2 linked regions of the Sus scrofa genome follow. The main gene of each other region encodes a partner of the protein of the gene in region 2 in a complex. Links are inferred from orthologs where the notes say so. Each region holds a gene or a part of one and is shown on either strand. Other genes may lie near its edges.

Evidence for each region. The genes of interacting proteins can lie anywhere in the genome.
Region 1: STRN4 (region 2) and STK25 share a complex: the UniProt entries of both Homo sapiens proteins name them as parts of the core of STRIPAK complex. The link is inferred for Sus scrofa from reciprocal best matches to the Homo sapiens genes STRN4 and STK25.

Annotation. Positions count from the first base shown.
Region 1 is NC_010457.5:140,151,358-140,156,079, reverse strand, and holds the start of STK25 (serine/threonine-protein kinase 25), read left to right. Parts: upstream 1-1,769; 5' UTR 1,770-1,856; exon of another isoform or gene 1,857-1,917; intron 1,918-2,383; 5' UTR 2,384-2,454; coding exon of another isoform or gene 2,455-2,505; 5' UTR 2,506-4,722. UniProt on the Homo sapiens protein: Oxidant stress-activated serine/threonine kinase that may play a role in the response to environmental stress.
Region 2 is NC_010448.4:52,624,938-52,629,446, reverse strand, and holds the start of STRN4 (striatin-4), read left to right. Parts: upstream 1-1,536; 5' UTR 1,537-1,564; coding exon 1,565-1,846; intron 1,847-1,928; exon of another isoform or gene 1,929-1,981; intron 1,982-4,509. UniProt on the Homo sapiens protein: Calmodulin-binding scaffolding protein which is the center of the striatin-interacting phosphatase and kinase (STRIPAK) complexes.

The sequences.
Region 1 (4,722 bases), on a different chromosome or scaffold from region 2:
CACGTGGGACCTGAGCCATACCAGCGACCTACATCACAGTTCACGGCAATGCCAGATCCTCAACCCACTGAGAGAGGCCAGGGATCAAACCTGCAGCCTCATGGTTCCTAGTCGGATTCGTTTCCACTGTGCTATGATGGGAACTTCTCTAGCTTCAAAAAAAAAAAAAAAAAAAATTATTAGAGCTCCCGTCATGGTTCAGTGGAAACAATCTGACTAGGAACCATGAGGTCATGGGTTCGATCCCTGGCCTCGCTCAGTGGGTTAAGAATCTGGGTTTACCCTGAGCTGTGGTGTAGGCTGCAGAGGAGGCTCGGATCTGGCGTTGCTATGGCTGTGGTGTAGGTTGGCAGCTATAGCTCGTATTAGACCTCTAGCCTGGGAATCTCCCTATGCTGTGGGTGCGGCCCTAAAAAGCAAGAAAAAGATTTTTTTATTTATATTTGGCCTTGCCTGTGGCATATGGACATTCCCAGGCCAAGGCTCGAACCCACACCACAGCTGTAACCAGAACCACAGCAGTGATGACACCGGCTCCTTAACGCCCGAGGAGGGAACTGTCCTTTCATTCTCTTAACAATGCCTTTCTGAAATCGAAATTTAAAACATTCGATGAAATCAAATTTATCATTGCTTTACAGCTGCATCCTTGTAAATGTTTTGGTAAAATGTAAATCACACAGAGCACACACGGAGACTATTTTAAGTGTACAGGTCACTGACGTCAAGCACGTTCACAGCGTTGTGGGGCCATCGCAGAGCTTGGTCTCCACTCCCGATGGAAACCCTGTACCCTGTGGTGTATCCCTTCTCTCTTCCTCCAGCCCCAGGAAATCTCAAGCACCTCTGCCTCCTGAACTGATCCAGTCTTGAGAGGTCATCGAAGCCGCATCACACGGTATTTGTCTCTTTGCGACTGGCTTATTTCCCTTGGCATAACGTTTTCATCCACGTTGTGGCATATAACAAAAAACAATGCCTTTTTAATTTTACGTATTTTGAATTGTGATAGCTTACACCTTAAAGCATTCAGTTGGGCAGTGCTGTACAATTATCTCCAGAATTCTTTTCACCTTCCCAAACTGAAGCTCTGTCCCCATTAAACACTCACTTCCCAGCGCCCGCCCCTGCCCCTGGCACCCGCCTGTCGCCTTTCTGTCTTCAGGACTCCAGGCACCTCACACAGGTGGGTCCAAGCACTGCTTGTCCTTTTGGGACTAGCTTATTTCGTTTAGCCACCGTCTTGGCGGTTGGTCCCTGCAATGGCCCGAGTCAGCACTGCCCTCCTACCCCCGGGCACGTCTGGACCGCATCTGGGGACCCATTCGTTCCTCCCCGACACGCGGGCGGCTGCAAGAGGCCTGAAAGATAGAATTGGAGTCTTGAGCCCAGGCCCTCGGAAGGGGAGCCGGAGGACGGAAGGCGGGGCGGGGGGGGGGGGCGACCGCAGAGCTGAAAGGTGGGGGCGCCCCAACCCCACGGCCGCCGGGCGGGCCCCGCCTGGCCCCGCCCCAGCCCCACAGGCCCCGCCCAGCACCGCGGCCTGGCGGGAGACGTAGGCCCAAGCTTCTCAGGAAGCCGGACTCGGAGTCCCAGCGGGCACCGCGGCACGCTTGCGGGCCGCTACACCACTCCGCCCCATGGCCTGCCGGGACTTGTAGTCCAGGGTCTGCGTGCGCCCCGACCCAGGGCGAACGAGGGACTCGGTGTCCCAGAGAGCTCCGCGCCGGGCCACGACACCGTGCCGCCCGGGCCGTCGCTGACGCCGCCGCCGGGCTTTCTCCGGCCGCCGCCGCCACTGCCGCTGCTTCGCGGGCTGGAGGGCCCAGGCGTCCCTGGGCGAGCGGAGGCTGCGGGTGGGAGCCTTCGTGGGCACTGCGGAGCGGGCCGGGGGAGGCCGGGATGGAGCCCCCGGAGGTGGGCGCGCTGCCGGGCTGGCCCGCGCCTGGGGCGGTTGGGGAGGGGGCTGGGCGGTGCGGGGAGTGAGGCAGGGGGAGGGCCCCGAGGGGGCCGGCGAGGAGGGCACTGGAGGCGGAGCTCGGCGGTAGGGGGACCCGGGGGGGGGCGCCGGGGGGGGGCGAGGGCACCGGGGGCGGGGTTGGGGCGGGGGTCCCGGCGGGGGTCCTGGCCGGGGTAAGGGGTCTAAAGAAGGAGCAAGGCTGCGGGTGGAAGTGTGAGGGCCGCCGAGGGATGCCCCGTGTTGGGGAGCTCCTCAGGGAGGCGTCGGGCCGTAGCGGGGCGATGAGGAGAGCGCGGCGGTGGGGGCCTTTAGCGGAGGGGCCCTGTGACTCCAGCCCGCCCCCGGGGCGGGCCGGCCCGCCGGTCCCCAGGGCGGCAGGGAGCCCCGCGTGCCTCGAACCGAGCAGGCCTGCTCTCCCTCCAGTTGCCTGAAGCGAGTGGGCCGGGCTCCGGAGCCTCCAGGCAGGATCTCGGGGCCTCCCGAGGTTGCAGCGGATGGTGGAGGGCGGCGCAGACATGGCTCACCTCAGGGGCTTTGCCAACCAGGTAAGGGTTGGCATCCGGGGAGAGGGGTGTGTGTGTTTACCGGAGCACCGACTGCAGAGGCTAAGCAAGGGCGCTTCCTCCAGGACTGTCATCCTGAGGTTTCAGAGGAGCGGTCCCTCCGAGGGCGAGCGTGGGGTGAAGGGAGGCGCGGGGGAGTCCTGCGGAGCGCGTCGTGGGCGAAGCGGGGAGCAGTCTCGAGGCGCTCAGACTTGGTGAGCGCAGGGGCGACTCAGCTTGGCCAGCTTGCCCAGTTGTGTGGGGCAGAAGCCCACAAGCTTGGCAAAATAGAGCCCCAGTGCAGGGGCAGCAGAGGCTGTGCAGAGCCCTGTGGTGGGAACAGGGCAGGGGCCGCTGGCTCTGGTGGGAATCCTGCCGAGCATGAATCTGCACCTGGAGAGACCTGCAAGGTCAGGGTCCACGCTGGGGCCGCAGCCTGGGCGGGGACACAGGCCGTGTTGTGCTGGGCAGGGGCTGTGCTGACGCAGCTCTCGAGTCTGTGCGCGGGGAGAGCAGAGCACAGGAGAGGATGAGAGGGCTGCTCCCGGGCCACAGGTGCTCCTTGGGAAGACACCCACTGCCTTTCTCTTTGGGGGACTGGGTCTTGGGATTGCCAACAGCAAAAGCCATCTGGGGGTGTCTGGCCTTGAGCGGTAACTGGCTGATTCCGGGGGACCCTCCAAAGCGCACCCTGGGTTGTGTGGCACATGGTTTGTACTTTCCTCTTGTCTGTTATTGGGAAGCAGGTGTGATCTGCAGCTGGTAGGACGTGGAGTGTGCCGCTCTGGCTCTGGTAGCCAGGTTTTCCTGTGGCCACTGCTTGGCTTTGTTTTCCTCGGCCGCCTGCTGAAAGGTGTAAGGCAGCGTCCTCGGGTGTAAGGCTGAGTCCCCAGGCTGAGTCCGCGAGGCCTGGGCGCCAGGGGAGCAGGAAGTGTGTATCCACGGGGCGGGGGAGGGGCTGGGGTCAGGATCGGCTCCACACCCAACAGGCTTCCTCGCAGAAACCTGCCACGTGCTGCCGCCGGGCAGGGCATCCTGGACTAGCCGTGCCACAGGTGGGCACTGGCACTTCTGCTGATGCTGAAGCCCGCTGGCAGGTCTTTCATTCATCTTTGACATCTCGTGTCTTGTAAATTACATGACGGAGAAGCTGGGAGAAAAACCTGGCTTCAGCTATTTTTAAGAGCTGTAGAAATGGGTCCCGCGGGTCCTGGAATAGGAAGTTGGAGCTGAGCCACCCTGTCCCTGTGTGCTGGTGGCACTAGGGGCTTGGCTTGGGTGTCCAGACCAGATGCCCAGGGAAGGGAGCACAGCCCAGAGGAGCTGAGGAAGGGACCCTGAAGGAAGGAAGCCCCTTTTGTCCTCTGGGGCGGAGAGACTTGGCCTTTGTCAGTGGCAGGAAGCCTGACAGGACATTGTTTTCTCTTGCGAGGGTTGTCACTGTGGCCCTGCGAGGCGGTCCCTGTGTGGGGCAGTGCGGTGAGCTCCCCCACGGCCCGCAGGGGGCCCTCCACTCCTGGCCTCTGCCCGGCTGGTTCCTTGTTCCTACCCTGCCCGCAGGGTCTGGCTGGCTGCAGGAAGCTCATTGGCTGCCACCCATCGTGGGGTGGTTGGGGGCCGTTGGGCACCCCTCATTTTGTGGGGCGATATGACCAGCAGACATACTGCCTGGTAGTGGCCACTGACCTCGCATGCCCAGGGCTGACCAGAGGACAAGGGTCTGGACTGCCAGCAGCCTGAGCCCTTGTCTGAACCACGCCCGTCTCTGGAAGGGGAGTGCAAGGCCAGCTCGGGAGCAGTTGTCCTTCCTTCCTTCCACCAGCTCTGGCCGCAGGTGTCCCTGTGATGTGCCTGTAGGGTCAGGGTCACAGCCAGGAGCGCTCCCGTCATGCTGTCTGCTCAGGAGACTGACCCACAGCAGTGGGGACCCAAAAAGTGTGACGTTGGGACCAGAGCTCCCCCCACTGCTGAGTCTGGAGCCCCTGGTCCAGGGGTCTGCCCAGTTCCCTCAGGAGCCGTGGAGGTCTGGGCACCCAGCTGGGTGTGCCTCTCGTCAAGCCGTTGGGGTGGAGAGTGCAGGCTGCAGTGAGAAGAGGGAGGCCTGAGGGTGGGAGGGGAACCCGGAAAGCCCGAGGAACAGTGCTGCCCGGCCTCGGTCCCACCTCCTCCAGGTCCCCTCTGAGGCCCCCTTGGAAGTAGAGGCACCGTTTCTAGGAGCCC
Region 2 (4,509 bases):
ACACAGGATGAACCAGGCGGTTGTTGGACAGGCCCTCCAGAGGGAGGAAGATAGATAAAACCATGAAAATGACTTACTGACAGGGCAGGAAACCAGCAGGGGGCGTGAGAGAGAAAAAGGTGGCCATGGGAGGAGAGAACACTTAAGCTGAGATTTTGTCTCTCCTCTCCCCACAAAACAATGTAAGTGGGTCCAGATTCTGCCCTGGCTTGAACCTCAACTGCTGCATCTGTAGAATGGGAATGTGATGGGTAGAGCAAATGAGTGATATGTAGAAAAACCTTTGGGGACAAGGGCAGTTCCCACGAGTGCTGGTGACACTGAGGGGCTGCTTACCTCCTAGGGTGCAGGCTGACGGAACTCCAAGGGGGTGGTTCCAGCCCAGCTCAGCTGCACTGCTGAAGGAAGATGAACCAGAAAACCCCAAATCAACCAACTTCACACAACAGGGCACAATTTCATCTTATGAAATCTCATAAGCTCAGGCAGGCATCACCTACCTGAAGCATCTTAGCAGTGAAAGGAAGGCTGTCATAGCAACCTATACCCATCCCTTCTTTCGTGAATGTGTCCAGAAAGGTAGGGGTAGAAGTGATAGAAGGTGTTACCATGACAACCCCTTCCCTAGACACATTACATTCTGAGAGACAATCCTAAAATGTCTTCTACCTTGGTGGGCCTGGTTCTAGGGTCATTGGAAGGCAGAGTGCCCCCATTACCATAGTACCCAGGACTTGGCTCTGCCAGTTTCTCACCTCCCTAGGGATAGCCCGCATCTTGTAACCATAACAACTACTCCTCAGCAGAGCATCTCCTCCTCTAAATAAAAACACCTGGCTGGTCCAAGGCCCTCCCACCATGGGAAAGGGGGAGATGGTTACCATGGTAATGCCAACCAGGAGGCTGGGGAGAGGGGCTGGGAAAGAGATGTTTCCCTCAGCAGTGTCCTTGGGGCCAGGCTCCTTTCTACCTGAGCGCTAGGTGAGGTTGCCATAGTAACCAAGGAGGGTAGGGGCCGAAGGACCACCGGGGACTTGGGTGACCTTAGCAACCTCCTATAGGTAGGTGCAGGGCCAGGAGAGGTGGAGCTCCAGGACCATAAAGGTGGAGGGGAAGGGAGGCTAAGGGTGTCCCCGACTGAGGAAGAGTTACCATGACAACCGCCCCGGGCCAGGAATCAGGATGGGGCCATCGGTGAAACCACCCCTGGTGGTCGCCCTTTCTCTCAAAGAGGGACGGTGATCTAGGAGAGTGGTGTTTGGGTCTGGAGAGGGCTAGAATCTTTCTTTGGGGTGAAGCCGGAGGAGGGGTACAGGAAGCGGCCCCTCCCAAAGTCCTGCGCTTCCTAAGGGGTCTGGGTCGCGTTTGCCCTCCTCCAGGCGCGCGCCCCTCCTCGCCCCTCCATGCGCGCGCCTTGGGGGTCGACCCGGGTGGGCGAGGCGCGCGCCCGACATCGTTCCCGGCACCGGCCCCCCCGGCCCCCGCCGAGCGCGCGCTCGAGGGCTGGCGCGGCCGCGCAGGCGCGCGAAGCACAGCGGGCGCGCGGGCCGGCCCCGGGGCCTCCATGATGGAGGAGCGAGCGGCCGCCGCTGCCGCCGCCGCCGCTTCCTCCAGCCGCCCACTCGGCTCCGGCGCGGGCCCGGGCCCGACGGGGGCGGCTCCGGTCTCTGCCCCCGCCCCCGGGCCCGGCCCGGCTGCCAAGGGAGGCGGCGGCGGAGGCAGCCCCGGCCCCACGGCGGGGCCGGAGCCCCTGAGCCTGCCGGGGATCCTACACTTTATCCAGCACGAGTGGGCGCGCTTCGAAGCGGAGAAGGCCCGCTGGGAGGCGGAGCGCGCCGAGTTACAGGTGAGCGCCGCGCCGAGTTACAGGTGAGCGCCGCCCAGGGACCCTCGACCCCCCCGCCCGGCCCGGCCCGGCCCGGCCTCACCCGCCGCTGCCGCCGCCGCCATCTTGGAGCAATGGCCGCCGGGACTGCCGGGGGGGGGCGGGAGGGGACCGCGACCGGCCCGCAGACGGAGTGAGGGGCCGTCCGAGGGGGGTCCTGAGGGCTCCTGGGCGGCTGGAGACGGGAGGGGGGCCCAGGGGCTGGAGGGCCCGACCGGGGCAGCCAAGAGAAAGGGCGCAGGGGACCAGAACCGGCTGGGAGTGGGAGTGGGGGTGAACGGACTGGCCGAAGGGTCCCTGAGAGAGTGGCCTCGGGGACCCGAGCGGACCCCAAGAGAACTCGGCCAAGGGTGATGAGAGGGCATGGAGGGGTCTTGTACGGGAGTGAGCAAAGAACATGCAGGGTGCTGAGGGAGTCACACTCCGTCCCCGTTGGAGGTGGAGCCCGGCGGGCCCCGGGTGGGAAGAGGGGACGTTGGGGGGACTTGGGACTCGCCGGAGTCGAGAGCAGGTCGGGGCTGGGCTCCCTTGTGAGTAGGGAGAGGAAGTCAGGGAGCTCAGGACGGGTTTGTTTCGGAGTGTTAGGACGGCGGGGACTGAAAGATGGCTCTGCCGGGACTCCGGGGAGGAGAGCGAGGTCTCGGGGGTGTCAGATGAAGGTGTGTGCCCCTTCCCTCTGAGGAGGAAACTTTGTGGAGCCTTGGCAGTGCGTCGCTACCGCCTCCCGGGAAGGGATCCCGGGGGTGGAATCATGGAGGGGGCCAGGACGTGCCCCAGGAGCCTGTGCTGGAAGAGCTTGAGAGCCGAGAAACTCTTCGGGGATGTGGGAGATGGGGGGACTCCCGCCCAGAGATGGGAGGTGTGGAAGATGTCAGGTGCAGAGCCCCGACCTGGAATGAGAGGAGGTCGGCCGTGTCCAGCGGTGGAGCTGGGGCGTGGGGTGAAGACACGAGGAATTGGCCGAATCTGGGGGTGGCGGGGAGCATTTTGTAGAGCAGGAAGGCAGCCAGAGGAAGAATCTCACAAAGATCCTGGGGTGGGGGGTAGTGTTTGTGGAAGTTTCTGGGAAAGGACTCTGGTTTGTGGAGTAGCTTGAGGGAGGGCTGTACCCCTGGGATGATGTTTGGAAGGCGCCGAGGAGCTGGGCTGGGTTTTGTGACCTTGAGAGATGTGGGTCCGTTTGCTGGGTGTCCCTAGGAGCCTGGGTATCAGAATTGTGAGGATTTTAAGGGTTCTAAGGATGTGCTGCCAGGAGTCTGAGGGGTCCTGGTCTGTGGTGTTATCAGCAGAAGTCAGCGCCTGCTTCTAGCATCTTTCCCCCTCTGATTTGCTGTTTCCTGTCTAGGAGAGGTGGGGACTGAAAGAAACACCTGGTTAGAATTTTGTCCATGGGATGAATAGAGAGAGCATCCCGCAATTCTCCCACCCCTGTAGGGATCCTGGCTCTGTGGTAGCTGAGGCTTGGTGCTGGGGGGGTTGGGTGGGAGAGAAATCCTTATGCAAGTACCCCTTGTTTTTGTGTTCCATCTCTCCTTCCAGAGCTCTTTCCCAGAGTACGTCTTTTTAGATCTTCTTAGTACCCCTTCATGTAGGCAGGGCCAGTGTCCTTGCCCTCGCTCAGCAGCTGCTATCGCAGCTGCTGTTTATTGAGCACATACTATGTGCCAGGCATTGTGTCAGGCACTTTAAATAAATCCTTGCAACCTTCTGGGAGGGTAAGTGATATTCCCCCCCTTCCCTCCCCTTTAAAGAAATCAAGCAGAAGAGGAAGTGGAGGCTTTGAGCAGGTCAGTGATTTATCTAGACTCATAGCCTGTGGGTGGCAGAGGTGGTCTGTGGGCTTTCGAGCCCATGCGTTATACTTCTCTGATGCCCAGGACAGAGGAGAAGCCTGTTCCAGGAAGTTCTGGCCTCTGCGGGAACGTCCAAGCAGTCACAGCAGACCTGGGGTTAAATCTTGGTGCTTGGTGTCTGGGACTTCACACCTGTGCAGCCTGCAGCACCCCCCAACCCACCTCCTCATCTTTGAGACAAACAAGAGAAAAGATGTGTCTGTTCCCCTCCTTAGTGGTCTTCTTGGGCTTTGGGAGAAAGTTGTGGATAGCACCCGCTTAGACGCTCCTTTGTCTAGCCTCCGGCGCCACTCACTTTGTTTTCTTTTGTTCTGTTATGTTAGCGCACATTCAAAGCGCTCAGGCATCTGTGTGCACATATTACATACATGTGAGTGAAGGGGACCCCCGTCCCTTTCCTGACCTGCTCCCTAACTCGCCTCCCCAACTGTTTTCTGTGAAAGTAGTTCAGCTCCATGTGTGTAATATATGAGATCATATCATGTGTATCATTTTGTGACCTTTTTTCCCACATAGTCATGCGTCTTGGTGTTCCTTTCATATCAGCACAGAGAGCAATACTCACTGTTTTTGAAAACTATATTCCACTGGTGTTTGTATCCCAGCTCATTTAATTGGAGCCCTCTTGATGGAATTTTAGGTTGTTTGCAGCAAATATCCTTGTATCCCCGCGTGAGTACAGCAGAAGAGACGGGTGGAGGGGGTGGAACAGGAGAAGAGGTGTGTTTATGAAGCGGGGACTGGGTCTGGCAGGTTGCCCCGCATTTACAC